4 linked regions of the Lonchura striata genome follow. The protein of the gene in region 1 interacts with the protein of each later gene in a pairwise test. Links are inferred from orthologs where the notes say so. Each region holds a gene or a part of one and is shown in the gene's direction. Other genes may lie near its edges. The genes, in order: KIFC3, MFAP1, TRIM54 and ZGPAT.

Region 1 (6,910 bases):
TTGTTTCTAAGAAGCGCTTTATAAGCAGGAGCCTGTGTTGATTAATGCCATGAAACATTAATGACTTAGGAGGTGAGCTGCAGTCCTCCCACAGAGCAGCTCCCCACTCCCCAGCAGCCAGAGAGGCACAGGATGAGCCCAGCGCTGGTTTTTAGGCAAGGCACAGGCATTAAAGCCAAACCCAAGTTGTTCCTGAAGCCAGCTGAAAAATATGACAAAGATAAAAGGTAGGTAAAAGGGAGAAGGAGGCTGAGCTTTGGTTAGATGGTGTGCACTGAAGTCTGAGATAAGAAATTCGGAAGGGTGGAAGAGTCACCCCTCCAAAGGCTGCTACATCTCACATGGCACTGCCCTGGCTGCCAGCACAGCAGAAGTTTTGTCTGCCTGAATGCAGCAGGTTGAACAAGGTGTTGCTTTTGCCATTTGCTTGATATAGAGGAGATTTGCATGGGGGACACAGGCAGAGCTGAGCCAGGCATGCAGCAGCTCCCAGCTGGAGCAGAGAGATCCTTGGCTGTGGACAGGCTCTGGGCTGCCCTGGGCTGCCCAAACACAGCCTAACTGGCTTTGAGGGGCTTGGCCAAGGTGCTGAGCTGCAGAGACACCACCACCAGCTGAAGCAGCATCCCAGTGTGTTGGATTTTGGCAGCAATCCTTGAAACACCCCTGCCCTGCTCCTGCTCTCCACCCAGTTCCACATAACCCTATCGCAAGGATCAGAGCCTCGGGGTTGAATTAACGCAACTAGGGAACTTTAAAATGAATATTAAATTTCTCAGGAACACGCTAAGACTTAATTAAAACTCCTGTCATTGTGTGAAATGGCAATGTAGGAATGCAGGGGGCTCGTTCCTGCTTTGCAAAGCATTTCATGTTGGCTTGGCAAACCATGCCTCAGCAAAGCCGAGAAATCCCCTCACCTCCTCAAGGAGGAGCAAAATTAGAATAATGAGCTGGTTTATAATTAATTGTGCTCTGGGGACACATTCTCACGCTGTCTGATGCTTCTGGTGGGAATTCTCTACAGGGAGCATCCCAACATACAATAGGTTTCAGGTATCAGGTGAGCTCCTGCCTGCATTCCTAGACCAGGTTATCAGGTTGCTCGAAGGGAGAGTAGGAGGAGTTACATATTTTCTGGCATTTGGGGGATTTTTTAGCTGTCTTACAAATGTAGGTTAAATATTTGCTCAGGGCAGAACAAACACCCAATACAAAGGGCCCCACTCAGTGATGTGTTTCGATCTCTGGAGCTTCCCTTCATCCAAGTAAAAGGCAAATTAACCTGCCTGGCTTCACCCCACCATGGCAGCGATGCTTTTCAGCTACAGCACAGGCTGGGCTAAAAGCAGAGCTAGACCCGAGCCAAGGTCACTGTCCCCGGGCAGGGTGGCCCGTGGCAGGCTGGTGCTGTCCACGCAGGGCAGATGTTTTAGCACTGATGGTCATCGATGTATCGAGCCTCCCTGCTACCTGCTGGGTGCTGGCAGAGGTGCTGCTGGCGGCCAGCCCTGCTCCTCGTTGCTGTTCTTCTGCCTGCCTGCAAAGCAGCATTTCTAAAAATACCTCCAGCGATGTCGTCAGCCGGTGCTTGCTCAGGTCACGGAGACAGCCGAGGAAAGGAAGATGGGAGCATCGCTGGGGGACCAAGCTGAGATGATCCCAGCCAGCATGGGTGAATCCCTGCAGAGAGAGGGGCACGAGCAGGGTGCTGCTGCCTGCACAGGCTCCCATGTGTGCTGCCCACAGCCCCCCAGAATGTCCAGCAGCAAGTGGGCATCCCCGGGATTCACAGTGCTCCTTTGAGCCAAAGAGCATCGCAGTGCAGGGAAAGGGAGCTGGTACCTGGCCAGCGGCGTGCAGCCAGAGTAACCCCACTTCTGGATGCTGGAGAGCCTGTTCCTGGTGTGCTGGGCCTGCCAGAGAGCCATGCTGTCCTTGCCAAAAATAGCCCAGCAGCTGGGAGGGGTGGGTTTTGTAATGCTCACAGGTGACTATTTGAATAGGGCTGTTGGCACAGAACCCTTCCTGCATCTCAGATTTTGCTCCATGCTTATTCATTGAGTTATTCTTCTAAACTGGGGAATTCATGCATGTGCCTGCTTAATGTAGACTTACTTGATGTAATTGATACAACTTATGTGCTTTGCATAATTGCAATACCATTAAAAACCTGAAGCATTCAAAAGCCAGGAAATTACTTACCAGTTAAAGTAAATTACATAAACATTTGTTTTACTCTTTACAGCTCATAAATGAAGTCAGCAATGATATGGCTTTACAGTTGCTATCGGAAAGGGGAAAGTAGCTTCCTGTGTGTCAATATTATCCCCAAACCAGCCTCAGGAGCTGCACAGATTATGGGCTACTCATGCAAATTAGACACTGCTTAGGGCCTCTGTGGGTAAATGTATGTACATATGGATGTGTGTCTATAGGCACACACACCTCTATCCATCCATGCCAGGATCCATGCTGGGAATGCCAATAAACCTCCGATGAAGGGGGAGGGGGAGGAGGCTGGGAGGTTTTCACTGGCTGCAGGGGAATGGCAAATGCAGTGCAGAGCTGCAGGCTGCTGCCAGGCCAGGATGGCATTGGCTTCTCAGCGGCAAGTTTCTGTGCCAGGGGCATGGGGACACGGAGGTGATCCTTCACAGCCCCCTTTCTCTGGGGTGAGTGGCTAGAGCAGCTTGTCCTCCCCATGTCAGTGGCTCCCTATCACCCCTCACCATGTGGCTGGCTCGTGGCAGGGAGTGGAGCAGTGTCTCATGGGGGGTCTCTGAGACAATGTCCAAGAGGGACAGTCCAGGATGAAAGGACAAGGCTAAATCCTGCTCCAAACCTGGTCAGGAGTGAGAAAAGGCTGGGACTGAGGGAGGGCAGGTGGTCTGCGGGGAGCACAGCACAGGGCTGGCATCAAACCCTCCTTTCCCAAGGGACAGCCACTCCTGCATCCCCAAACCCTGGTGGGACACAGGTCAGCCTGCCATCGGCATGTGGATGTGAGCCATCAGCACGGGGCACCCGCTGCCACCACCAAGGATGCCAAGTGCAGCTTTGTCATGGGAAATATCCGGTACTGCCAGTTCATAACTGTGAACAAGTCATGAGTGACTTGTGTCACCCAAACCAGCCATTACTGTGAGGGCTGTGTGTGCAATACAGGGAGGCAGATACAAATCACACCCTAAAAATGCAGGCATTTCTGTTGCCTTTCTGACACCAGGGCTTTTGTAGAGGTCTTGGCATGTAAGGCTGTTTTCTCCAATGCCTCTGGGTTAGGAAAAGGTTGTTTTTCATGTGATATCTGTGTCCCTGGGACAGATGAGCCTGGGGTGCCAGCTGGCATTGCTGCCAGTGGATGCTTGGGAGCGGTGGGGATGCGGCAGAGTGTGAGGGCATAGTTTGGGTAGGCGGGTCCTCGGTGTGTAGGTAATCAGCACCACTGTCCCCATGGTCCCCCAGGGTCACCGTGATGAGTGATGCCAGGAGGGGTGCACAGGTGGGATGCAGTTACACTGGGACTCCCTGAGGAGCACCGGGTATGGGGTGGGAATGGCAGAGACACACGGGGAGTACCGGGGACACACCGGGAGCCCCCAGCACTATAGCAAGGGAGGGTCAGGGGAGCACGGTGGGGGCGGGCCGCCCTGGGAAGGGCACGGGGAACACCGGGGCTCCCCTGTGCTTCCAGGGTTCCGGCCAGAGGGGCCGGGGTGCCCCGGGGAAGCACCGGGAGCCCTCCGGAGCCCCGCGCCCCCGCAGCCGCCGCCGCTGCCCGATGCGGGAAGGGGAGCCCCGCCTCCGCCGCCCGTCGGGGGTTTCACGAGTTTCCGTGGCAACGAGTGCGGGGCGGGGCTCGGCGCTTCCGTTACCGAAGTGCCGGGCAGGCGGGGACGGGCCGGGGCTGGTGCCGTGTGTCCCGCTGCTGCCGCCGCCCCGCGCCCGGTGAGTGGCCCCGCGGGGCGGCACCGGCGGCACCGGGGAGCCGGGCTGCACCGGGCAGGACCGGGGCTCCCTCCCTTTGTCTGCGGGCTGGGAGCGCTGGCACGGAGCGCCCGCGGCGCGGCGAGAGCGCGGCTCCCCGTTAGCCCGCGGCGGGCGGCGCCACCGGGAGCGGGAGCGGGAGCGGGGCTGCGCCTGCTGCTCGCTGGCACCGGCGCCGGGACCGCCCCGCTGCGGGTCGGGAGCAAAGGAACCCCGCGGTGTGCTGGGCGGCTCCGTGTCCCGTTCCCCGCCGAAGCGGCCCCGGTGAGGTGCGGCGAGCGCGGAGCGGTGTGCGCGGAGCGGAGCGGGCGGTGCCGAGCGGAGCGGTGCAGTGCAGGGCATTGTGTGCGCTGGGATGCGGTGGGTGCGGTGCGCAGGGCTGCCCGTGGTCCCGGAGTTCCTAACTCCCTAAAGGCAGCCCCAGCCCGAGGTTAGGAGGGGCCTGGAGAGGCTTCAGGAATGAGTAAATTAATTACAGACACCGTTTATGTCACATCCGCTGGGAGCACGGAGGGAGCCCGGGGCTGTCGCCTTTTCGGGAGCAAAAAACGGGATTGATGCAACTTCCTGCGGGTTTCGGGAGTCGGAGCCGGTGTTACCGTCGTGTTTTGCTCCAGAACGTCCCACTGGGATTTACAGCTGGGCACTGAGACCGGCTGAGATGTCCGTCCTTGCGCTTCTCCGCAGAGGTGCCGCTGTTCTCGGGACCCCCGTGCCATGATCACGTCCCGCACCGCCTGGCATCTGGGATCCGGGCCCTCCGCCGGAGCCGCCTGGAAGACCAAGGACCTTGCCCCGGACGGTGAGTACAGCACGGTGCCTTGTCCTTGCCCCTTGGGGCTCAGCCTGCTGCACTCACACCCTGCTCACTGGGGAAGGAGAGGCTGAGAACAGGCCAGCCTGCATTTTTCACATTTCTTTCCGGATGAAGGTCAAGATTTGAGAAACGGGGACTCAGAAGCAGGCACAAAGCTCTGGGCAGCGTGCTGGTGAGAAGAGAGGGCTGCCTCCCTCTCTCTCCTGGCCCTTCCGAGCGGGAAACTTAGGGAGAAAGGTTAAAATTTAACATGTGAGGTAGAAAATAGTGATCTGCATGGCAGGTTGAATGTGGGCCCTTTGCCTCTTCCCAGCCTCAGCTCCTTGGAAGGGCTCCTTATCCCTCTCTGGCGCATGGACCCCATGGGTGAGTATAGTCGAGTTTTGCTCTGTGGAGGCTGAGCTGCCTTGCAGGCAGGCGGGCAGCTGCTTGTCCCAACCTGCAACCGCTTGTTGGGAAACAGCCCTTCCCACCTCCCTCACCGATGGTGCTGAATGGGTTTTGGCAAAGGTGGAGGCTGAAACCCCAGTATTTGAACTTCTTTTGCTTTTGGCTTCAGCATTTGCCATCCCCCTGTGCTGGCAGCCACTTCTCTGGACGCAGCTTCTTCTCTGGCACTTGGGCCAGTCCAGCCAAATGCCAGCTGGCACCAAAGCCTCCAAAGTCAGGGTTTTCAGCTCTTTCTCTGCCCAACGGCTGCTGCTGCCCATACAGGGATGGGAAGCTCATCACCTGTTATCCGGGCATTTGCTGGCACTTTGGAAATGCTCAATTTTCATGGCGTGTGCAAAATGTTATGGATAATTAGAGGCTGGGAAGAAGTCCAGAGTGATGGACTAACTTCATAAGGGCACTTCTCCCTCCAGACATCAGTTCCACCTCCAGCCCAACTTCCTCCAGGTGGCTTTAGAGGAAAAAGGCTGCATTTTTGAGGTTTGATTTGTGAGCAATTGATTTTCTCTCTGTTAGCTGGAGAAGAGATTTGGCCACCCGCAGTGGTGGCAGCACTTGTGGCAGATAGGTGCGGGGGGCACAGGGTCCCCAAGCAGTGGGATGTAGCCCTTGCCAGCTGCTTTTCCTGTAGCAGAGCAGGACACAACCATGGGAGAAAGCTCCTTGAGTTGCTGTTTCCTTCTGTGTGGCTCAGCAGGACAGGGAAGTGCTGCCCTGGCTGCTTTTGGGTTTGGCTGCCTGACAAATGAAGGAAATATTTGGGGTCAGTGGAGGGAGGTGACACCGTCAGGGTCTGACTGTCTGGTTTTGGTGATGCAAGCTGGCTTTGGCAGCTTTTCCGAGATGGGATCGCAGGAAGTGGAGCAGCTTGGCAAGGGGTAGAGCTGGGATATCCCTGGTGGGGGACAGATCTGGTCCTGCAGAGGCCAGTCGGAAGCTACACCCTGAATTCTCATTACTAGTCATTGGTAACCAGTCTCCACCCCCCAGAGGGCTAATTTTTCTAATTAACATAATTAACATTTTTAATAAAAGTCATGCATTGTGTCTGCCACACCGGTGTGGTGGCGGCAGCAGGGAGGAGGAGGAGGTGGGTTTGCTGAGCTGGCCGAAGGCTGTGTCTGTGCTGGGCTCCCAGGTGGATCCAGTGATGCTCTTTGCTCCATCTCAGGCCGTGGGCAGGACAGGCTCGGCACTGGGGGCGGAGCAGGCGCCTCTCCCCGGGCTCCTCTGCTGCCAGCACTGCTTCACCATAAAATCTTCAGCGTGAGCTGGCCGGACACTGCAAACCCCCGTGGGCTCTGCCGGGCTCTCCAGGTGAGGAACGCTGAGCCAGCCATGGCATGTATGGGGAGGGCAGTTTTAGGGTGATGGGGAGGATGTCCTGCACCCATCTGGGCCATCCAGGTGGGAACCAACTGGTTCCCTCCCTTACCACAACCAGTTTGTGCCTGGACCCCAGCAGCGTGTGCCTCAAGCAGAGCTGCTGCCTGGCTGGGGAGGGAAAAGCATCTCTGGGGAGTGAAAAGGCATCAATGGGGAACAGTGTTCATAACAGAATAGCATTTTCTGGGTCACTTATGGGTCATGCTGGCAGGAGAGCTCAAGGCAGAGGTGTGATAAGAAAATGCAGTGCCGTGAGGTGGTGTT
Region 2 (7,378 bases), on another chromosome or scaffold:
CCCATGGGGTTATATGGAGAATGCATGGACAGAGGCAGGTCGGAGCTGGAGTCCGGACTGGTGGTGGGAGGGAGGATGGGACACAGGCTGCCTGCCCCACCCATGAACCTTACCTCTGGATGCCTCCTTTGGGCGCTGGCAGCCGTGCCAAGGCAGGTGAGGAGCTGCTGCACGCAGCCCTGTGACATGAGGAGCTGACAAAGGGCCCTTGTCACCACGGGCTTATGGCGGTGCTGCGGGGCAGGGCAGGCGGGCAGGAAGCACCACGCTCTTACGCAAACCACTGGCCTGGGACCTGCGCTGACCCCACAGCCCTGCCAAAGAAAACACCAGGGTCGGGAAGCACCTGGCTGCAGGTGGCACATCGCCACAGACCGGGAGGAGACCCGCTGTGCCAGCAGCCCCTGGGCCCAGCTGCAGAAGGAGCAGAGAGAGGCCACCAGCAGGGATCTGAGCGGCTGCCGTGCCCCACTCACCTCACAAGGGCTGCCAGGCACCCCTCTCTGCCCCGAGCCATGATGCAGCGAGGGGTGAAACAGCTACTGCCGCACATCTGCCAGGCACAAACCCTCATCTCAGACTTGGGGACTGTGGCTCAGAGGCACCAGTGCAGCCCAGGAGACAGCAGAAACAGCCGCTCCATGCAGCAGTGCCCAGCAAACTGGCAGCACTACTGCCGGCCCATTGTACTGTCCCATCCTGTGAGGTCTGCCCTGCTAGGATCCCCTGGGGTTCTCACTATGGCCACAGGGGCCAAACTGTTCACTGGGGGTGGGAGAGTCCCCCACACTCCCCTTCTCTGAGCACACTGGTGTGGCTTGGCTGCACACACAATCAACAGAAACCCACTTTCATGGAAAAATCAGGTTCATTTTTAGCTTTCAACCTGCAGAATACAACTGCCCATCTGCCTAAGCTCCCTGGGAAACAGAGCAGCATAGGGCTGCACTCCTGCCTGCAAACATCCCAGCCTGGGGGACCTGGAGGATTGCAGGTGAAAGCAGCTAGTGAGCAAGTAAAGGGCAGAGTGCCCACACAGAGAAACCAGCAGAGAAAACCAAGTAACAGGCAGCAACAGCAGGCAGAAACTTCTGGATGCACCAAATCAATAGCAGAAGGTTTACCCAGCACAGAGCAGCCTGCTCTGCCCCATTGCCAGCAGAGGTGAGCCCACAGTCCCTCTGCTGTGCTGTCCAGCCTTCTCCCTGCACACATCCTTACACTATCCCAAAGCTAAGGCTGCAGTCCCTTTCCCTGGAGTCTCCCCAGTCTGTCCCCTCCACCCTGGATACTACCAGCAGGTCTCTTAGTGCTGAGGGAGCTGGGACTGCCATGCTCCAGGCAGGACCTGTGGTCTACAGGGTCCAGCTGGCTCCAGCAGCTCTACTCATCTCTGACTCCCAGACACAACATCTCACTGTAGGCACATGCAGGGACACAGGCCCAGCCCAAACACCCTGACCTTGTCCTTGCAGTACAGCTGCAGACACAAACAGCAGCTGCTCAAGGTGGGTTCTGTAACTATCTGCCTTAGGCTTTGTCAGCAGCAGTCGTAATGCTCCACAGCCTAGTCTGGCTCTGCCCCTGCTCTGGGCTGCGGGATGTGCCCTTCCATCACCTGTCCTGGACAGCACCCTGTCATCACCTGCTGTACAGGTGCAGGGATTTCCTTGCCCAGCCTAAGTGCATAAGGTGCCTGTGGCACTTGGGGCGTTCCACAGTAGTGTCACGCACAGGAACACACACACACACACGGGCAAGGAACACAAGGCTGGGAGCCCACCTGCAGCCCAGCAGTAGGAATGCCATGTGCCCGTGGGCTTCGGTGGGCTGGGGAGGGGGTGCTCACAAGCAAACCCAGCCCAAAGACCAGCAGGTGTGGCTGGCACAGCACTGAGGGGCAGACTGGCCCATGCTCCAGGCTCACTCATGGAACAGCTGCCAGCCTTCCATGGCTTCACACCACCCCAGGAATGGGGGGCTCAGCCTCACAAAGTGTCTCCCACCCCATTGCTGCCCATCTGCCAACTGCCAAGACTTGGCAGGGCCAAGATGTCAGCAGCCACTGCACTGGGCAAAGGGAACATGGGGCAAAGAGACTTTGCAGTGAAGGGCATCTTCCTGCCATGGCCTCCAGCACCTGCAGCCACAGAACTGAGCCAGGCTTGAAGGTATTTCCCTGTTTGCCCAGGTCTTTAGTTTAGCTTCACTTGAATAGGACAGTATCTGCTTTGTGTGCAATCCTCAAGCTTCCTCTTGGGTACTGTGGCCAACTGTTCCTTCAAGTCCTGTTAAAGCTTATTCCTTGCCATGTGGCACAGGACTTACTAGGTGGGAACACACTGTGACAACATCCAACACTAACAACATAAACACAGAGTGGCTGCTCTGGTTGTCACCTGGGTGCAAAGGCCAGAAGAACACCAACAAGCACACAGATCCACTCTTGCTTGTTCCTGGCAGTCTGTAGGTGCTGTAGGATTATAAAGGCATCGATGCCTCAGTTGCTCAGGCAAACTACCAGCTTCACTGCACCATTTCTGCCTGCAGCAGAAATGGGTCTGTATGGAGGGCACTGCAGGGACACCCTTCCCTGGAACCAGAGCAGGGACTGAGTCAGGATGCCAGGTGCAGCCAGCCAGTGCTTCAAGGGACTGGGCCCACCTGTCCCCGTGCCTGGGGCAGCCACCCCCACCTGCAGCCCAGCCAGATTGTGGTCATCCAACTGGATCTGCCCAGTCCTGGCATCTCTGTAGGCCAAGGAGAGTTTCCCAGGAGAGTCAGCCTCCACCGTGGCCTTGGGACCTCTGCAGCCACTTCTGGGACCAGACTAGGGTACTGCTGCCAAAAATTTGGTCTGCTCTCCCCTAGACTGGCTGCAGGAGATGCTGCCAGAGGGACATCTCCCAGCCAGACCAAGGACACCAAAAGAAAAACACTTCCCTGCACTCCCTTATGGATTGTGCTCCACTGCTGAGCCACCAATTGGAAAAGCACATGTGCCCTGGCCTTTCCTGGCTGCCAGAGCTAGCCTCACCCCACGAGAGTACCTGCTCTGCTACTGCCGGTGAACTGTTGAAGTGTGGCTCGCTCCCCCTGCTTCCTAAATTTCCCTGCCAGCAAGCAGATTTCATGGAAGATAAAAGAGGATTTCCTCTTCCTTTCTTCGTAGAAGCCAGCAGAAGGTAGCAGAAAGTGGCAGACGTGGCTGCAGTGGCTTGTGACGCAGTTTTACCCAACTTAAGAGAAACTGTTATCTTCTGCGGCAGGATGCGTGCACAGGGACATCCCACCCCAGCCACTCGCCCTACACTGTGAAGCCTCACACACCTCGGCTGCTGACACAGGCAGCAGCCAGCTGCTTACGGGAAACCCCCAAGAAGCAGCCGTGGCCCCAGCCTTTCCCCACAGACACTTCACACCCACGCCAGTGGGACCCCCAGGAGCTCCCCCAGCCTTGCCGTGCGGCAGGTGGAGGTGCTGCCCCACCGGCAGCAGCTGCCCTGCTGGCGCTGGCCGAGGGCTCCGGGGGCACGCAAGAGCTATTTGTCCTTGCTGCCAGGGAGCCAGGCAGCAGCGCTGGGGCTTGCTGGAGCTGGCTGGAGCGGGCAGAGCAGGGAGACTGGGGTCATGGCTGGCTGCGGCCGTCGGGAGCAAAGGCGGACGGCCTGCCGTGCCGCACTGCAGGGAGGAACGGCACGGCTTGGGCAGCAGCCACGGCCACCTGGCCTCCAGGGACACCCAGCCCCGCTCTGCCCCGAGCAGCCGCGCTGGCAGCGGGCTCCGCACAGCCCCGCAGCCCCACCGCGCACCAAAGCGAGCAGCAGTTCTCAGGCTGGGCGGGCAGTTCGGCACAGGAATTTGCCAGGCGCAGGCCGTTCCCCAGCTCAGCGAGTTACGGGTAGCCCCGGGCGCTCCGTTCCGGCAGCTGCCGGCTCAGACGCAGCCCGCACGGGACGGCCGGGCCCGCAGAGCCCCGGCGCCGCTTAGACGCGGCCGGAGCGAGCAGCACCCGGGCGAGCCGCACCCGGGCGAGCCGCAGAGCCCCATCGCGGCGCTGCCGGTGCCCCCGCCGTCCTATGGCCGCTCGGCCGCTGCCTCGCCCTCACTCCCCTCCGGGGAGAAACCCGCATCGTGCAGGGGGGAACGGAGCCTCTCCCGGCCGAAGGCGGATGGCGAAACGACCGGGGACCCCCCTGCCAGCCGGCCGCAGGGCCCGGAGCACCCCGCGCCGGGCCGACACGCAGCCACGGCAGACGGCTCCGAGCCCCGGTGCCCGTCCCCGCGGCAGCGACCCCGGGCCCAGCGCCACTTCCGGGCCCCGGCACGGTCCCGGTGGCGGCGGAAGCGGCCGAGGTTCCGGTTCCGGGTGAGCGCTCGAGGCGCCGTTGTCAGCGGCCCCGCTCGGCTCTGCTCCGCTCGGCCCGGCCCGGCTCGGCTCCGCTCCGCTCCCCTCGGCTCCGCTCGGCCCCGCTCCGCTCCGCTCGGCCCCGCTCGGCCCGGCCCGGCCCCCGCCTGCCGCCACCATGTCGGTCCCCAGCGCTCTCATGAAGCAGCCGCCGATCCAGTCCACGGCGGGCGCCGTGCCCGTCCGCAACGAGAAGGGTGAGCTGGGGGCTCGGGGCTCGGCGGGGAGGCCGGGCGGGCGCGGGGCCGGGACGGGGGTGCGGGGCCGAGACCGCCGCTGACGGCCGGCACCCGCAGGCGAGCTGTCCATGGAGAAGGTGAAGGTGAAGCGGTACGTGTCGGGCAAGCGGCCCGACTACGCGCCCATGGAGTCCTCGGAGGAGGAGGACGAGGAGTTCCAATTCATCAAGAAGGCGAAGGAGCAAGAGGTCGAGCCCGAGGAACAGGAGGAGGAACTGGCCAACGACCCCCGGCTCCGGCGCCTCCAGAACCGCATCGCTGAGGATGTGGAGGAGCGGTGAGTGCTGGGTCAACAAGAGCTGAGCCCCCTTTGCCTATCTGGGGCCGGGGGGCTGGGACTCTAGACTGCAAGGAGAAACTCCACAGGGCAGAGCTGGGAACATTATCCAGGCAGTGCTGGAGCGTTTGTGACTTCTCATATCCACTGTGCCTTGGGCTGCTTTCCAGCCAGGAGCCAGCCAGGCACAGTCCATGTCCAGGTGTGTGTGGGTGGATGGTAGGAGAAACAGGCACCAAAACAGAAATTAGAGCAGCGTGCTGAAGCTCGGGGTAGCAAGGAAGGATGGTGTCTCGTGAAATGCACTCTGGGCAGCCCATGGCCTCCCAGCTCAGTTGGTGAGGGTGATGAGAGCCTCCACCACGTTGCCCATGTGCTTGCGCAGATTGCGCTTCACTGCAGCCTGTGATATTTCCGTCTCCATCATCTGCAGAAAAGCACCACTAAGTGCTGTTTGCCTCCCATGGAGCTGCTGTTGGTTTTGTTTCCACTAACAAGGAGTCTTCTCATTTGGAACAGCATTCTTCCTTGAAGCATTGACAGGGAAGAGCTGGCAGTGCCCAGGCACTGTGACCTGGTAGAGAACATATCAATTCTGGCCATGTTTGGCAGTCCCAGTGCTTACTGTGGCCTTGCTAGAAGTGATTTGTGAACAGTCACTTTCCTGCAGCCCCCTTACGTTCCAAGTGCTGTGCATCACCTGGGGTCTCTTGCAGGCTGGCAAGGCACCGCAAAATCGTGGAACCTGAAGTGGTCGGAGAAAGCGATTCAGAAGTGGAGGGGGGAGAAGCTTGGCGCCTGGAACGGGAGGACACCAGTGAAGAGGAGGAGGAAGAGATTGATGATGAGGTGTGTTTGCAGAGCCAGATAATGGGCCTAGGAAAGCTGGAAGGGCACAGGCTGGAACTGCCCTTTGCATGGATATGTGGGCTGTCTGATGTATCTGGACAAGTGTCACACCTAGCCACGACTTAACCATGTAAGTTATCATCCTCTGGCATGGAACAGGACACTGGGGGAGGCCACGCCACGTCCAGACAGGCAGGTGCATCTTCTCAAAGCCAACACTGCAGACGTGACGTGTTTCACAGGAGAGAGAGAAGTGGTAGCAGGGCAGGCCTCTGACTGCTCTGTGCTTGTCCCCGTTAGGAGATTGAGCGTCGGCGTGGGATGATGCGTCAGCGAGCACAGGAGAGGAAAACTGAGGAGATGGAAGTGATGGAATTGGAAGATGAGGGTCGGTCTGGAGAAGAGTCTGAGTCAGAATCCGAGTATGAGGAGTACACGGACAGCGAAGATGAAATGGAGCCACGTCTCAAACCGGTCTTTATTCGCAAGTAGGTGATGGAAGTGTGTAGGCTGGCCCTGGATCGTGGTAGTCAGAAGCTGGGGCCCAAGGAGACCTTGCTGCCATGGTCTCTTCTCACTGTGAGAAGCCATTGACCTCCTTGGGGTGGGATGGGATGGTCACAGCCTGGCAGGGCACAGCTAGGGAGCAAGGAGCAATCCCTGTACCCACAGCCCTGTATCAGTTGCATTGGGTTGCTGTGGCATCAGGCTGTGGAGTCTGACCAGAGCTCTTGGTCAAGGGCCATATAGTGGCAAAAGAACGTGGTAGTACCCAGGAAGGGGAGAGCCCTGGGACTTGACCTATCCCTGGAGAGGGCAAAGGCTGAAAGCAGTTGCAGTGTGGGAGCCAGTGAGAGGCTGAGCGACTGCACTGGCTCGTGGGAGGGCTGAAGGCTGTCATGGCCCTGCTTGCAGGAAGGACCGGATCACAGTCCAGGAGAGAGAAGCAGAAGCTCTGAAGCAGAAGGAGCTGGAGCAGGAGGCAAAGAGGATGGCAGAGGAGAGGCGCAAGTACACGCTTAAGGTACGGAGGGGTGGGCTGGAGGCTGGAGGGGGCAGCCACTGCAGCAAGTTTAGCTTGGGCCTCACTGCAGATTGTAGAAGAGGAAGCAAAGAAGGAGCTGGAGGAGAACAAGCGCTCACTGGCAGCACTGGATGCACTCGATACAGATGATGAGAACGATGAGGAGGAGTATGAGGCCTGGAAAGTCCGTGAGCTGAAGCGTATCAAACGAGACCGCGAAGAACGAGAAGCGTAAGTATTGTCTCTCAGACTAGAGGCTGAGACCCCACCTTTTCCTCAGGCTGCCCTTTGGCAGCAGGGTCCCAGCTGGACTGAATGCCCAGAGTCCCTCCTGCCCACCCTTGGGGTGCCTTTGCTCCCTAGCAGTAAATGTGTAAGCTCTCATGTGTTAGCTGGTGACAGCCTCTCTCCCGGGAGATGCTGTGGGGACACACAGTCTCAGGAGCTTCTCTCCCACCCAGCATGGAGAAGGAGAAGGCAGAGATCGAGCGTATGCGGAACCTGACAGAGGAGGAGCGCCGTGCTGAGCTCCGGGCCAATGGTAAAGTCATCACCAACAAGGCAGTAAAGGGCAAATACAA
Region 3 (7,498 bases), on another chromosome or scaffold:
CCCTCGGCCTGGTGTGAGAATGACAGCACGGACTGCTGATCTGGCCACAGGACCACAGGCTAGGCTGGCTGCAGGGCTGGCACCCATCCCTGACCCCAGGAAAGGCCCTGAGCTGCCAGCTGTGCCCACCTGCCAGCCCCTGGCTCTCTGGACCTGCAGACAAGCCCCTGCTACTGGTCTCCCTCTGCCCCAAAGGACCAGTCCTCCCCAGGGAGAAGAGAGGGATGGCCTCTCCTTCGGACCACGAAGAGGGGATATTTAGGACATTCCTTGCTCCCAGAGCCCTGCCTCTGGGCCAGTGGTGCCTCCAGAGGGAGTGGTGGCCTCCCTGCGGCTGTGCCTGAGGGGTGCTCACCTTCTCCCCAGGGAAAGAGGGGGATGGGGTCCAGTCCAGGCGAGCTCTGTGCCTGGAATCCATATTTATTTATATTTATTGAGGGCGGCCTCCAGCTCCAGTGGGACCCTCTGACATCAGGGACTGGACCTCATAGATTCACCCCGTCCCTGCCAATCCACACTCCATCCCTGGCCCCGGGACTTGAGGGGGTTGTCACGGGGCTGCCTTCCCGGTGCTGTCCCATCCTCAGTGTGCAGAGTGCTGCTGGTGACCAGGGAGTGGTGAGGTGTCCCCGGTGCTGCCCTTGTTGCTCAGGTTCTTTTTCCAAAGGGCAGCGGCAGCCTTGCCCCCCCCCCTCGGCCCCACCACCGACGGCAGCAGGGAATCCCGGGGGCGGGGGTCTGCCCCGGTACCCGCGCCGTCCCGGGCCCGGCCGTGCCCTCACCACCTCTTCGCCGCCGTTTTGTACCAATAAAGGAGCAGCGCGATCCCCGAGTGCCGCCTCCTGCTGCCGCCGGACCGGGGTCAGGTGGTGCGGGCCGTGCCCTGTACCGCGTGTCACCCGTGCCCTGTACCGGGTGTCACCGGGCGGGCCGTGCCCTGTACCGGGTGTCACCAGATGGGCCGTGCCTTGTACCGGGTGTCACCGGGCGGGCCGTGCCCTGTACCGCGTGTCGCCGGGCGGGCCGTGCCCTGTACCGGGCGGGCCGTGCCTTGTACCGCGTGTCGCCGGGCGGGCCGTGCCCTGTACCGGGCGGGCCGTGCCCTGTACCGGGAGGGCCGTGCCCTGTACCGGGTGTCGCCGGGCGGGCCGTGCCCTGTACCGGGAGGGCCGTGCCCTGTACCGGGTGTCACCGGGCGGGCCGTGCCCTGTACCGGGTGTCGCCGGGCGGGCCGTGCCCTGTACCGGGCGGGCCGTGCCCTGTACCGCGTGTCACCGGGAGGGCCGTGCCCTGTACCGGGAGGACCGTGCCCTGTACCGGGTGTCGCCGGGCGGGCCGTGCCTTGTACCGGTGTCACCGGGCGGGCCGTGCCCTGTACCAAGTGTCACCGGGCGGGCCGTGCCCTGTACCGGTGTCACCGGGCGGGCCGTGCCCTGTACCGGGTGTCGCCGGGCGGGCCGTGCCCTGTACCGGGCGGGCCGTGCCCTGTACCGGTGTCACCGGGCGGGCCGTGCCCTGTACCGGTGTCACCGGGCGGGCCGTGCCCTGTACCGGGTCGCGGGCGGCGCCTGCGCAGAGCGGCGGCGGCGCGGGCGGAAGCGGCGGCGGGGCGGGGCCGTGGCGGTCGGTGCCGCGTCCCGTCCGACCCCGCGACCCTCGGCGCGGCCATGGCGGAGCCCCCGCGGCCGCAGCGGAAGCTGTCCCGGGTCGGGGAGAGCCTGTACCGCGTGCTGGGGCTGCAGAAGGGCAGCTCCCCCGAGGAGATCAAGAAGGCCTATCGGTACGGGGGGGTCCGCGCGGTCCCTGGGAGCCCGGGCGTGAGGGTCCGTCCCGCGAGCGCGGCCGGGATCTCGTCCGGATGGTCCCGGTGCCGTCCCGGCGGTCAGGGTCGGTTCCGGGAAGCGAGGCTGTAACCCGTGCCGGGGGTCCTGGGTCCCTACCGGGGCCGTGGGCTGTCCCGGGGAGCGAGGCTGTGAGCCCATGCCGGGGGTCCCCGGTTCACCCCACAGGAAGCTGGCTCTCAAGTACCATCCGGACAAGAACCCCGATGACCCGGCGGCAGCCGAGCGGTTCAAGGAGATCAACAGCGCCCACGCCACGCTGAGCGACGCGGACAAGCGCCGCCTGTATGACCAGTACGGCTCCCTCGGCCTCTACGTGGCCGAGCAGTTCGGCGACGATGCCGTCCGGCACTACTTCCTCATGTCCAAGTGGTGGTTCAAGGTGAGCCCGGCATCGTCCGGTGTCCGTGGGGCTGGCGTGACGGGGCTGGCGGGTCACTGGCTCAGCGGTTTGGCAGGCTGGTGGCTTGAGTGGGGTCTTAGCCCTGCTGTGATGGGTCAGGGACTTGGGTGAGCTCACAGCACGTTTGTCCCTGACACAGGCACTGGTGCTGTGCTGTGGAGCCCTCACCTGCTGCTGCTGCTGCTGCTGTTGCTTCTTCTGCTGTGGGACGTGCTGCCCGCCCAAGGAGGATGAGTCCTACAAGTATGTGGACCCCAAGGACCTGGAGGCACAGATGTGTGCAGAGGACAGCGGTAAGTCAGGCGGGAGCCAGTGGCTAGGAGCACCTGTGTTTGCTTGGTGGGGGCTCTGGGATCTCCCCTTATTCCATCTTGTGTGGGGGACAGAGTTCTGGCTCAGATGTTGGGTTGGTTTTAGTCACAGCTCTTACAGCCAGCCCTTGGTGTTTCCTGTGTGGGTCAGGGCTGGTGGCAGTGACAGTGCCAGGCAGACATTGCACGGGCCATGGGTACACCTTCTCCTTCCCTCTGGACACAGGCCCCCTGAACAGGCCTGAAGCTTAGAGACCCTGGGGCCTGTGCCCTTTGGGACACAGAGCACGGGAAGAGCAGCTGTGCTCCAGGCCAGCTGTTCCCTGGCACCAGCCATACTGGTGTCAGTGGGGCTGGGTGACTCCTGCAGGTTTCCTTGGGGTCGGGGCACTCCCATGGCCCTCTGCACTGGGCAGGGGTATGGGGGCTTTGGGCTGTGGGGGCCCTTGAGGCAGTGTTGTGAGATTCCTGCTCACTGGCACCACAGGATGGGGCTGAGCCACTGATCTGCAGCTCTTCCTTTCCAGATCCTCAGATCCCTGTTATAGCACAGCCCGCGCCTGCCAGCACGGACCCACTGCCAGCCAGCACCAGGAGTGATGCCTGAGGCTGGCCCCATCCCGCCGGCTCCCTGAGGACTCGGGGCAGGGATTCTCCTTTGGGACTGTCACTTTCTGGGACCACGGTCCCACCCCCCAGACTGGCTCATCAGCCTCGGGAGGGATATAATCTCAGGTTAATTTGGCCAGCATCAATGCACAGGCTCCTGGGCCCCTGCTCGAGCTCCAGGGCAATGCCCCAGCACTGGTGGTGGCAGTGGCCTGGAGCCCATGCTGCCATGGCCCCCTTGAGTGCCTTGCCGGTGCCCAGGTCGGGCAGCAAGCAGCAGGCACGAGCAGGGACGCTCCGGGCCGAGCTCTGCAGGGAGCCAAGCGCGTCCGAGACCATTAGCACTGTAACCTCTGGGGCTGGGCTGAGCCCGCTGCCCCCCTGCAGCCCTCCCGCTGGGTGCTGGGTGCCAAACGCTGCTGTGGAGTTGGGGTGCTCCTGTCTGTGCCCCTTTCCTCTGCCCTCTGGGTTTGTCTAGGTTTTTGTGGGCACCATTAAAGGCCGACGGGAGGGGAGTGTGTGTGCCTGGGTTCTGTCCGTCGGTGGTAGGATGTGCCTCTGCCTGGTGTTGTCCATGCTGGGGGCTGTGCCCATGGATCCTGCAGGGTGCTGTGGGGACTAACTGGGGTGTGCAGTAGGCAGGTCACGTCCTGTGTGGAATGGTCATGTCTAGTGTAGTGAATGTCACTGGTCTCCTGTCACCCACCTGGGTCCCGCTCTGTCCCCTGCTGCTGGCTCCCGCAGGCTCTGCTCTTCCCTCTCCTTGCTGCTGCCATCCTGGAGCCCTGCTCCCCCCTGCCGGCACTGCCCCTGCTCCTGCCCCGCTCTCCTGCGGAGGGCTAGGACTGGCAGGGATGGGACCAAGGGGGACACTGTGAGCCGCTTGCACTTTCTTCCCATGTCTGGTCACTGCCACTGCCCGCAGCTGCATGGGCTCTGCCTCACTCCCTAAATATAGCCAGGGTGCCAGGGTGAGTGAGGATGGGGGTGTCCTGGCTCCAGCCCCTCCACCCTGCTCTTCGGAGGGGCTGGCACTGGGCTGTGGGATCTGCGGGACCCCAACCTCCCCCAGCCCTGCTGGGGGACACATACTCCTCAGCATGACTGCCAGCCCTGCACCCCTGCACCAGCCAGGCCCGGTCCCCGGAGCCTCGGCCGCTCCTCCTCCCGGGCAGGGGATCAGCGGGTCCCGAAGCGCAGCGGGTCCCGGGACCAGCCGGTCCCTAGGGTGGGCAGGAGCGGTGACTCAGTGTCACCCGACGCCGCCGACAGCTGCGGCCCCGGCGGGGCGGGGGCGGCTAAAATTAGCGCCGGGGGCCGGGGCCGGGGCCGAAACAAAGCGGGCACCGGGCGGCCGGAGCGGAGCCGCGAGACAGAGCCGGGTCGGGCCGGGCCGGGTCGGGACCGCAGCCATGAACTTCGCGGTAGGGCTGAAGCCGCTTCTGGCGGAGGCGCGGAGCATGGAGAGCCTGGAGAAGCAGCTCATCTGCCCCATCTGCCTGGAGATGTTCTCCAAGCCCGTGGTCATCCTGCCCTGCCAGCACAACCTCTGCCGCAAGTGCGCCAACGACGTCTTCCAGGTGGGACCCGCCGGTGGGGCGCGGGGAGGCACCGGGACCTAGGCATTAGGACCCCAGTCCGGCGGGTGGTGGCCCCGTTATCCCGGGATCCCCGGCCAGCGAGGCGGAGGGGCGGGCGGCACCAGAGCACCGGGATCCTCTTCGCAGAGGGGCCTGGTCTGACACCGGCACCGGCAATCCCGGCTGGGCTGTGCCCGGTGCCACTCTCGGCCGGCGGAGACGGTGAACGGGAAGCAGAGCCCGTGTAGGAGTCCTTGTTTGTCTCCACACCCGTGTCCTGTCCGTGCTCCTGCCCGTCTCCGCCTCTGTTTCCGTGCCATGGCCGTGCCCGGGCGCGTCCCGGGGGCTGTGGGGTGCAGATCCGCGGGGCTGGGAGGTGCCGGGGGTGCGGGGTGCCGCCGCCGTGACCCCTCGCGTACCCCCCCAGGCCTCCAACCCTCTGTGGCAGTCACGGGGCTCCAGCGCGGTGCCGTCGGGCGGGCGGTTCCGGTGCCCGTCCTGCCGGCACGAGGTGGTGCTAGACCGGCACGGGGTGTACGGATTGCAGCGGAACCTGCTCGTGGAGAACATCATCGACATCTACAAGCAGGAGTCGGCCCGGTCCGGAGGCGTGGGGACCCCGGGGCGGGCAGGGCGAGACCTGCGGGTGACAGCAAACCCAGCGAGAGGGCTCGGGGTGGGATCCCAGCAGGAACTGGGGAGCCATGGGGTCCATATAGGGCCAGGGAATATCCCTGGGGCTGCGGGTCTCTCCAGGGCCAGCGGTATTTCTGCTGCCAGCAGTGTCCCTGCAGCTGAAGGGTCCCTGGGAGCCAGAGGTGTCTTGAGGGCTGGGCAGATCCCGGGGCTGGTGCTGTCTCTGAAGCTGGGGTGCCTCTGGGGCCAAGGTGTCTACCTGATACCCCAAACCGCCATGTAGACCCCTTCATGCCAAGGCTGAGCAGCACCTGATGTGCGAGGAGCACGAGGACGAGCGGATCAACATCTACTGCCTGCGCTGTGAGGTGCCCACCTGCTCCCTCTGCAAGGTGTTCGGGGCGCACAAGGACTGCGAGGTGGCCCCGCTGCCGGCCGTCTACCAGCGCCAGAAGGTGGGGGGACCCTGGGGTCTCGGGGGGCTGAGAGTGCCTGCACAGCCACCCTCACACCCAGCCCCTCTCCTGCCAGAGCGAGCTCAGCGATGGCATTGCCATGCTGGTGGCGGGGAATGACCGGATCCAGGCCATCATCACACAGATGGAGGAGATCTGCCACACCATCGAGGTTGGGACCGAGGGTTCTGGCCCGGGGCTGTGGCAGTGGGGGGATGTGGTGCGCTGGCAGTGTCCAGCCCTGGGGCTGTGCTGGGGGGACACGGCGCAGCCCTGGCTCTGTCCGCAGGAGAACGGCCGGCGGCAGAAGCAGCATGTGGGGCTGCGGTTTGATGCGCTCTACGGGATCCTGGAGGAGCGCAAGAAGGAGCTGCTGCAGAGCATCGCAGCCGAGCAGGAGGCCAAGCTGCAGCGAGTCCGTGGGCTCATCCGCCAGTACGGAGACCACCTGGAGGCCTCCTCCAAGCTGGTGGAGTCAGCCATCCAGGCCATGGAGGAGCCCCAGATGGCCCTGTACCTGCAGGTCCTGCCAGGGGAGCAGGGAGAGAAGGGACAGGGGGGCTGTGTGGTGCTGCCATGGTGTTCCCTGAGGGGCATGGGGCTGCTCACAGGTCTAAACGGGGGGCTGTGCTCACCCAAAAGGATCTGTGGATGCCCCTGGATGTGCCCCACCTGTGGTGGGGGTGATGTCTAGAAGACACTGATCCCGCCTCGTTTTCCTTCACAGCACTCCAAGGAACTCCTGAAAAAGTGAGTGGGGACTATGGAGGGAAAAGACCTTTGGCTGGTGGCCCTCTGGGTGCTGGACCCTGCAGCTCCCAGGGTGTCTCTGCCCTGCAGGATCACAGACATGTCCAAGGCATCAATGAGCAGCCGCCCTGAGCCTGGCTATGAGAACATGGACCACTTCTCCATCAACGTGGACTATGTGGCTGAGATGCTGAGGACCATCGAGTTCCAGACAGGTGCCTGCACTGGGGAAACTGCTGCTGTCCTGAGGGGGTGCTGGGACTGCCTGGGGTGCCCAGAGCCCCAGGCGGAGCCCCCCTCACCACATGCCCTGTGTGGGAATCCCACGCAGGACTGGGGATGTGACCTTCACCTGTAGCTCCACCCAGGGGCCCTGGAGGGTCAGTCCTGCCCAGGCTCTCCCTGGTTCCCACACTGGGCTGGTCACATTCCTCCTAGGAACGTCCATCCTGGAGCGTCCTGCTCCATCACCTCCCTCCTGCATGCCCTAGTGTATCCCCATGATGCAGGAGGGAGGGAGGGAAGGTCCCACCTGAGCTGTCCCCTGCCCACAGAGCCCCTGGGTGAGGATGAGGGGGATGGACCTGGGGACGGCAGTGAGGCTGCAGCAGACGAGGACCGGCTGGACAGTCTGGAGGTGCCCGAAGCTGCTGAAGGTGAGTGCCTGCCCTGACTGCCCAGGGCTGTGTCCAGTGCCAGCCTTCGGCTGTGCCGTGGTCTCCGTGTGGCAGCACGTGTCCTTCAGGGTGCTGGGGCATCCTTGCCTCATTCTTGCTCCCTCTCTCCCGCTGCAGATGTGGGGCCGAGGCAGAAGCCAGCGAGCTCTCCCCATGGTGAGACCTCATGGGAGTGAGATGGGCACGGCCATGGGGTGCCGTGGGGCAGAGGAGACCTGCTGGGAGTGGGGATGAGG
Region 4 (7,743 bases), on another chromosome or scaffold:
ATATCCAAGATCATTCTGTAGGAGTGAACCTCTAAATACCCAGTGCAGGTATTTCTTACAAACAAGCAAAGCAAACCTCCAGTGGGTTTAGCTTTGCTAATCTCTTGTAGCTCTACAACTGCATGAAGGCACTAAGTCTGTGGGCTGGTCTTGGACCCTCCAGAGGAAGCAAGAAGCCAGATTTGCTTTTGAAAGGCTGTTCCAAATACCTCTTTCTAGCAATTTAAAGAAGCCAAATTGTTCAATTATTTGTCTTTAGTCTGGTTAGAGTGTCAGAAAAGCCAGTGTCTGCAGCTTGTAAGAAAATATGTATATACAACCAAGAGAGAAACTGGAACAACCTTCCAGGTCACTTGTTGGACTTTATCCTCAACAAGTCAAGGCAAGAGTGCAGGCTGTTCCCTGCAGAAAAGCTGTGGGGTTGTACAGAAATGTGAGAGTCAATATTCTGGTTTCCACAGAAAAAAGACAGACCATTTCCCTACATTCCAGAAACCACAGCAAAGTCAGGACCATAAATCAGGAGTTCAGACTTGATCTCATGCTTTTACATGGAATTACATTTCTCTTATTTCTAAGACTAGATAATCTAGATAATCTAAATGAATTACATCATCCAAAAACCAATCTGTGTTGTACTCATTAAAACCTGCTCTAGAGCCAAGTGATTTCTATGGAAGCCTCACGTGTTTCCACAAGTGCAACTGCTCGGACAAGTGTAAAGTGCAGAGGAAAGAACCTGAGAAGTTTTTGCATCCTTTGGAACAGAGACTGAGCCCAGCTGCCAGGTCTGCTGCTCCAAATCCTACTGCGAGCCTCTGGCTCCATCTACAGACGAGTCACTGCAGCTGCACTCCTGCAATTCCAGGTACAATTTCCAGGAGGAAACCACAAAAAACACCACTACCACCTTGGGTACTGTCTTCCTTTTTTCCATGCTGGGGGAGGTAAGGATGGCCCAGGATGTGTCACCTAAACACCACACCACCCACAAACTGCCAAACCCAAACCCTTACAGTTTACCGTTCTGTAAAGCTTTATCCAAAGCTTTACAGTCCTGAATACACTGCAAAGAATTCAAATTATATTATCAGAAAAGGAGCATTCCTTGTCCTTGCCATTCACTGTTGTCACTGATGGAATGCTCTACAACAAACTATTAAACAGATCTTATCCAATTATGGGGAAAGGATGATTTGCTTCACATACATCTGTTGCGCTATTCCTGGGTTTTGAAAGAGCAGCATAAACAAAGTGCACTAAACATTTTTTTCTGAATAAACAGGAAAAAACAGCATCAATATAGGCAGTCACACTACATAAAAAACCCACTATAGCTATGCATTTTCTTCTGTTTACATAAAGAGTTCAAAACTATGTGCCTGTAGGAAGCTCACTCATGGCACTGAAAAAGGGCTGGAGGAGAAAGGAAAAAAATACAACTAAATTCAAAGTAATTATTTCAAGTAGTAGGAAAGTACCAGAGGATCAACTCAGGACTGTGGAACAAATTTAACATGAATGCATAGTTCACCTTTCCAAGGCTTATTTGCTCATTTACGTAAATCCTCCATATTTTACCTCTACATCCTGCTTGTTGGCCAACACCAGAATGGGAACCCCTTCCAGAGCTTCACTGGTAATCATCTTCTCTACAAAGGACAGAAACAAAACCAGATTTAGCCAGTTCTGGAAGTTGTACAAATGCCTGGCACAGATTCTCTGGACAGAGGGATGAAGCCAGAAGCTCCCTCTTGCATTACAGTTTCATTTGATACAACCTTCCAGGACAGTTTGGTGACACTGTACTTACCAAAAGCTCTTTTGGACTCGGAGAGCCTCTCCTCATCAGTGGAGTCAATAACATAGATCACCCCGTGAGATTCAGCATAGTACTGGAAGGAGAACACAGATATTGGTGCCAATTCTCTCCCTGATTTGATTTTGGTACAGTTTTGATACATGTGGAGATCAACCAATTAGAGGCAGCTGTATCCACAGTGTGCCTTAACAGAATGGAGGCACACAGCCTGTGCTGCCTGTTCTGTTTGCAGGTCTGATCAATACACCAGGTGGAAAAGCTCACCTGTGTCCCCCCAAAGCTCATCTCTATGGCACAACCCCAGATCTGGGTTGGTAATTGCTGTCTAACCAGTAATGCAAATATCAACCACGGAAATAGTGGAATTTCTGAAAAAGTGTTACTGCTAAATACTTGGGTTATCAATAAGCCTGTGTGATTACCAAATGATTTTAGTGGTTCAGTTCTAAAAGAACTAAAAGAAATCACAGAATCACAGGATGGTTTGTGTTGGAAGGGGCCAACCATCTCATTCCAATCCTCTGCCAGGAGCAGGGAGACCTCCCACTAGATCAGGCTGATCAGAGCTCCACCCACCCTGGCTTTGAACATTTCCAGGGATGGGGCAGCCACAGCTTCTCTGGGCAAGTTGTATAAATCAAATAAAAATAAAACAAAACCACATTTCTAACCTTGTCCCAAAGTGACTGCAGCTCCTCCTGCCCACCAAGGTCCCAGAACATGAGCCGAGTTTTGCCAACATCAATAGTTCCAACTAGAAGGAAGGAAGAAAGGGCAATCCAATGAAAACTGTAAAGCACAGACACCTGCACAGCCCACTCAGAAATCTGGGGTGGGACAGGCTTGTAGGGGAACAAATCACAGGCAACAGCAGAGCAAAACCTGCACGGAGTGATCACAAATATAGATCAGTATCTGTGCAAATAATTCCAGAATTGGGCCAAGGAATGAACTCTGGGGAAATATAGTTTGAGGACAGCACTGAAATAGGATACCTGAAGTTTTAATACTTTAAGAGTTTTTCCTCCTAAGCTAAGAAAGTCTATTTTATTATCTATAAAAAGACTTGGATAGTTGGGAGATAAAATCTCTGCACCCAGGAACTATTATTACCTTCTGAATTCTTAAATATTTAAAACAAAAAACAGCTGTTGTCTATCTATGCAAGAAAGCTGAAAAAATTCCATGTGGATTTACTCACTGTTTAAGCCTACAGTGGTTGTGATTTTGGACAAACTCATCCCTTTGTAGTTCTTGTTAAATCGGGTTTTAGTTTGTTCAAGGAAGGTCTGAAAAAGAATAAGACAAAGTCAAACATTTTACTGGCTCTTAATTTCTGCCCAATCCTGCTAGAGCAGATAGTGCCCTACCTAATTTTGGATAAACCACTCTTCTTACTCCCTATTTTAGCAAGAAAAGAAGGGATCACATGTGATTATGGGATTACCAAAGCCTCAGCCACATCCCTCCCTGAAAGCTTGTACTAAATTTAAGTAATGAGGAAAAGTTGATTGCTTGGTGTGACATCACTAAAGTAACTCAGGATGACCCTTGCTGGAAGATTTATCCCTGGAGGATGTTTAGGATTGTGTGTGCCCTCCACGGAGTGATAAACAGCACTTACAGTTTTACCAGCATTGTCCAAACCCAGGATCAGGACACAGTACTCATCTCTCTGGAACATGTATTTATAGAGCCCTGACAGCAGCGTATACATCCTGCTCCTGCAACAAATGCCAGGAAATCAATTAACAAACAGCTTGTTCCCAAAAGCCTCTCATGCCACAGCACAAGTTTTTCCCGATGCCAGACAAACAAACGATGTTACTCTTTCATCAGTACCTCTCATATTTAGGCAATCCCAGGAAAAATCAGAGATCTAAGAGAGATCATGAAAATAGCTCACAATCAAATTTGGGGTTTAAAGGGGAACTGAGGAAGGACTCAAACACCTCTTGCAGTAAATGTAAGACCCACAGAAAATGAAGTGGGCTCACACAAATACAAAGAGCAGGTATTTGGAGCAGGGATCTACAGAAGCTCAGAGCTGGGTGCGCACACAGAGGCACAGGGATGCAGGGAGCACTGGCAGCAGGCGCTGCAGCTGACTCACGGGCATTGCAACACCCCTTCTGTTCGAACACAGATAAAGGGAACCTCCAGGCACAGCCTTTGAGAGGCAGCTGCCTCTAAGCAAGCGCGTGGTTAAACAATCACTTTGAAGTCCAACACCATTACCTAAAGGGAAATAAAAGCGTTTCAAAGCAGGAATCGGATGGGGGTTTTACAGTAAGGGAGGACAGGGCACGAAGGGGCTTCAGTCCCACAGGTACCGGGGCCGCCCTTGGCCCCCAGCTCCTGCCGTGCCCCGGGCAGGGGGAGCCCCGGCCGCTCCCCTCTCGGGACAGCCACTGACCCCGGGACAGCCACTGACCCCAGGCCAGCCCGACCGCCGGCCTGCTCCTCCCTAAGACGGGAGATCCTCCATAAGATCCGGGATTTCTCGCCCTTTCCCTCCCTGTCACAGCCAGTGACGGCTGAAGGAGATCACCGGCCCTACCGCCATTTCCCCCTAATGGCCCCGCGTCACGTCCCGGGCCAGAGACAGGTCCCGGCCCGAGCTCCCGAGGGCAGCGGGCGAGGAAAGAGCCTCGAGCCCGAGCCCCGCGGCCCGTCACCTGATCCGGTGCCGGTGTCAGCGCCGGAGCTGGAGTCGCCCCTCACGACTCCCCAGCGCCACCAGCCACCGCCATTTCGCGCCCAGGACACTGGGAAATGTAGTCCTGTCGCCGCTGCGGTGGCGGTGCGGATGGTGTCTGTGGACTACAACTCCCGGAATGCCCAGCGCCCGGTACTGCGTGGGTGACGCGCTGCGAGCGCAGCGGAAGTGGGGGCGCTGCGGCCGGAAGAGGGGTGTCATGGCGGGTGCCATGGCGGCGGCTCGCCGGGACTGAGGCTGCTGAGGGCGCGGTGCGGCCGCCGAGGGGCCAGTGGCGGCTCAGGGAGGTGCCGCAGCTCTGGGGCTGAGGGAGCGCCCAGGCTGCGGGAGGAGCGGTGCCGTGCGGGGGCCCGGTGGGCGAGAGTGGACTCCGTGGCGGTGGAGGGCAGGGCCAGGCCCGGCCTCTCCTCGGACTCTCCCGTCTCCTCTTGTCGTCTGTTTCCAGCAGGAGCATCGCCCTGGGCATTTCCGAGGGAAAGAGCGGGACGGCGGGTAGATGTCGCTTCTGCAGGCGAGGACTTGTTATCCCAAAGTACTTGAGTAAACTCTGAATGTTTTGAGTTCGTGGAGAGAACGCGGGCAAAAGCGCCTTTGTTGTGCTGAAAATGGATGAAGAGAGTCTGGAAGCAGCGATCCAGACCTACAACGCCCAGCTGGAGCAGGTGGAGCTAGCGCTGGGGGCGGGCCAGGACCCATCGCAGCAGTCGGACCTGATGCAGCTGCAGGAGGATTTGAAGCAGCTGATAGAACTGACCGAGTCCAGCCTGGTGGCTGTGAAAAAGAGCAAACTTCTGGCCACTCTGGACACAGATGCCTCCTCCTCCTCCCCAGCAGGTCTCCCAGGGCAGGATTCCCACCGGGAGAGCTCTACCCAAGATGAGGAATACGCTGCTTTTAAGGAAGCCATTGCTGGGCTTGGAGCAGATGAGGAGCCTGCAGCTGATGGCAACGAGATCTCCTCGGAGAGAGAGGGAGAAACGGGGGATAAACCCAAATCCAAGTGCAGTGAAGAGGAGGAGGAGTCTGAGAGGGAGGAGGAGGAGGAGGGGTTGAGCGGGATGAAGGTCAAAGCCCCCTACTACAGCTCCTGGGGAACCCTGGAGTACCACAATGCCATGATTGTGGGGACAGAGGAGCTGGAGGACGGCAGTGCAGGGGTCAGGGTGCTCTACCTGTACCCCACCCACAAGTCCCTGAAGCCCTGCCCCTTCTTCCTGGATGACAAGTGCAGATTTAAGGAGAACTGTCGGTAAAGAGAGAGGGGTGGGAGAGGCCTTGTCGTTCAGAGGGTTAATCCTCCTCCTCAAGTGCTCTGTGGCTTTCTTACCCAGGGAGATTGTGCCTTAGTGTTTTTAAAATGTGCTGTGGTGAGCAGTGGCACCAGTTTGGCTGCTCTCTATAGCTGATGCACAGATGAAGTGGAAAATCCTGTGGGAAAGATGCAGAGATGTTACATAACTGAGTGGCTGAATTAACGACTGATGAAGTATTTTAAAACAAAACACCCAAGTCTGTGGGTAATGCACACATGGCAGTTGCACAGGGAGGTTGTATAGGCTCCATTTTTGTGGATCTTCACCAGGATCAGCCCCAGTGAAGGTGCTGGGCTGGAGCTGGGCTGAGATCCTCGCCTTTGTGAAGGTGCTGGAGCCCTGCCTGTCTCTGATCCTGTTTATCCCCATAGTCAGGAACTTTTTAATTGGATGTGTCACTAGCAAGGAAGTTTAATTCTCTGGGGTGAGACACATTCTTTGTACCATGACATAAATAACATGTTTAAAGTGAAACATGAACAACTTTATAATTACAACAGCACGTGGTCACACCTTCCTGATTATGGTGAAGGTTCCTCACCTCTGACACTCGTGTGCATTTCTTTTGAGGAAGGAAGGGATTTTCATTTGAAAACTCCTGTTCCTCCTTCCCTGCAGGTTTTCCCATGGTCAGGTGGTGTCCGTAGAGGAGCTCCAGCCATTCCAGGAGCCCGACCTGAGCAGTCTGGGGGTGGGCTCAGCCTGCCTGGCCAAGCACAGTGATGGGATCTGGTACACGGCCAAAATCACCGGTGAGGGGGGCAGGGGCTTGCCCAGGGGGAAGGTGGAGGCTGAGGCTTATGTGGGTCTGTAACTTGGCATTGTGGTTAATGACAGAAAAACATAAACTCTGTGGCAAGATCTTGACCTAGCTGAGGAAACTGTCTGAGTTTTGTGAGGCTAGAGAGAATTGGCTGGGAAACAGGAGATACAAAGAGCAAGAATGTGGAAAGGAAATGACTACGAGGTCATTAACTGCTCCAGGGAAGAGGGAGGGACTGCAGGAATTTACATGTATAGTAGGTGAGAATGGCAGTAATCTGTCTTGTTTAAACAAAAACCAGGGGAGCTGGCCCTGCCCAGCAGCTGCTGATACAGGCCTCCCTCTGTCTTGGGAAGAGGAAGGATTTATTCCTTCTTTCCATCTTTCTTTTAACTGTTGTTAAAAGTCAGAAGGGAGCAAGTCTAACTTCTTTTTAATTCTATTTCTCAACAGCCCATTTTTTTTTTATTTGTAGAGATAAACTTTTGGGTATCAACAGAGGAATTGTGGAAATAGCTTTTCATTGCAGTGAGTGCTTCCCCCTCCCAGACAGAAATAAAAATCACAGATTAAACCCAGAATTTTTTAGAACTATTCCTTGGGACTCCCCCCTGTCCTGTGTTGTTCTGCTGGAGCTGACTCTGCTTTAGCTCCCTGTGTGCTGCAGCTCCTGTCCTTGCTGTGCCCTCTGTAGATGTGGACAGTGGTTACTACACGGTGAAATTTGACTCCCTGCTCCTCAAGGAGGCCGTGGTGGAAGGGGACAGTGTCATTCCACCCCTGAGAAGTGAAGATGCTGCTGAATCTGGCGAGTCTGATGAGGACAGTGTGGATGATTCTGGTTATGCCAAAGGTAAGGGAGTGGGGAGAATGTGAACAAAAGTGACTTGGGATTTTGTTCTTCTTTTCTCTGGGACTGGCTGACTGTCCTGGAGCTCTCACTCTGAGTGTCTCACCTCTGATGAAAGAGCACATGATCTCTTTATGTGTTCCTAAAAGATTAAGAACAGTAACTGGCTGTTATGCTATAACTGCAAACTAAAATCTTTGTGCAAATCCCTGGGCTAATGAAGGCTGGAGAACTTCCTACAAGTGGAAGAAGAGGGTGTGATATTTTAGAGTTCCA

The links.
Region 2: the proteins of KIFC3 (region 1) and MFAP1 interact in binary tests that used the Homo sapiens proteins (3 or more experiments, as listed by UniProt). The two-hybrid records come from large-scale screens. The link is inferred for Lonchura striata from reciprocal best matches to the Homo sapiens genes KIFC3 and MFAP1.
Region 3: the proteins of KIFC3 (region 1) and TRIM54 interact in binary tests that used the Homo sapiens proteins (3 or more experiments, as listed by UniProt). The two-hybrid records come from large-scale screens. The link is inferred for Lonchura striata from reciprocal best matches to the Homo sapiens genes KIFC3 and TRIM54.
Region 4: the proteins of KIFC3 (region 1) and ZGPAT interact in binary tests that used the Homo sapiens proteins (3 or more experiments, as listed by UniProt). The two-hybrid records come from large-scale screens. The link is inferred for Lonchura striata from reciprocal best matches to the Homo sapiens genes KIFC3 and ZGPAT.

The regions. Positions count from the first base shown.
Region 1 is NC_134615.1:17,416,547-17,423,456, reverse strand, and holds the start of KIFC3 (kinesin-like protein KIFC3), read left to right. Parts: upstream 1-3,901; 5' UTR 3,902-3,951; intron 3,952-4,677; 5' UTR 4,678-4,707; coding exon 4,708-4,792; intron 4,793-6,431; coding exon 6,432-6,577; intron 6,578-6,910. UniProt on the Homo sapiens protein: Minus-end microtubule-dependent motor protein. Involved in apically targeted transport. Required for zonula adherens maintenance.
Region 2 is NC_134613.1:24,430,369-24,437,746, forward strand, and holds the start of MFAP1 (microfibrillar-associated protein 1), read left to right. Parts: upstream 1-4,374; 5' UTR 4,375-4,526; coding exon 4,527-4,605; intron 4,606-4,704; coding exon 4,705-4,924; intron 4,925-5,640; coding exon 5,641-5,773; intron 5,774-6,073; coding exon 6,074-6,261; intron 6,262-6,688; coding exon 6,689-6,797; intron 6,798-6,867; coding exon 6,868-7,028; intron 7,029-7,258; coding exon 7,259-7,378. UniProt on the Homo sapiens protein: Involved in pre-mRNA splicing as a component of the spliceosome.
Region 3 is NC_134605.1:113,724,004-113,731,501, reverse strand, and holds the start of TRIM54 (tripartite motif-containing protein 54), read left to right. Parts: upstream 1-4,490; 5' UTR 4,491-4,576; coding exon 4,577-4,744; intron 4,745-5,171; coding exon 5,172-5,344; intron 5,345-5,663; coding exon 5,664-5,835; intron 5,836-5,911; coding exon 5,912-6,007; intron 6,008-6,124; coding exon 6,125-6,358; intron 6,359-6,562; coding exon 6,563-6,585; intron 6,586-6,657; coding exon 6,658-6,800; intron 6,801-7,139; coding exon 7,140-7,241; intron 7,242-7,379; coding exon 7,380-7,418; intron 7,419-7,498. Other genes in the region: uridine-cytidine kinase-like 1, read left to right, coding at 1-39; DNAJC5G (dnaJ homolog subfamily C member 5G), read left to right, coding at 1,668-1,780, 2,010-2,223, 2,384-2,537, 3,083-3,162. UniProt on the Homo sapiens protein: May bind and stabilize microtubules during myotubes formation.
Region 4 is NC_134619.1:7,097,473-7,105,215, reverse strand, and holds the start of ZGPAT (zinc finger CCCH-type with G patch domain-containing protein), read left to right. Parts: upstream 1-4,731; 5' UTR 4,732-5,146; coding exon 5,147-5,790; intron 5,791-6,472; coding exon 6,473-6,606; intron 6,607-7,311; coding exon 7,312-7,470; intron 7,471-7,743. Other genes in the region: ARFRP1 (ADP-ribosylation factor-related protein 1), read right to left, coding at 1,582-1,652, 1,814-1,895, 2,494-2,576, 3,024-3,111, 3,447-3,539. UniProt on the Homo sapiens protein: Transcription repressor that specifically binds the 5'-GGAG[GA]A[GA]A-3' consensus sequence. Represses transcription by recruiting the chromatin multiprotein complex NuRD to target promoters.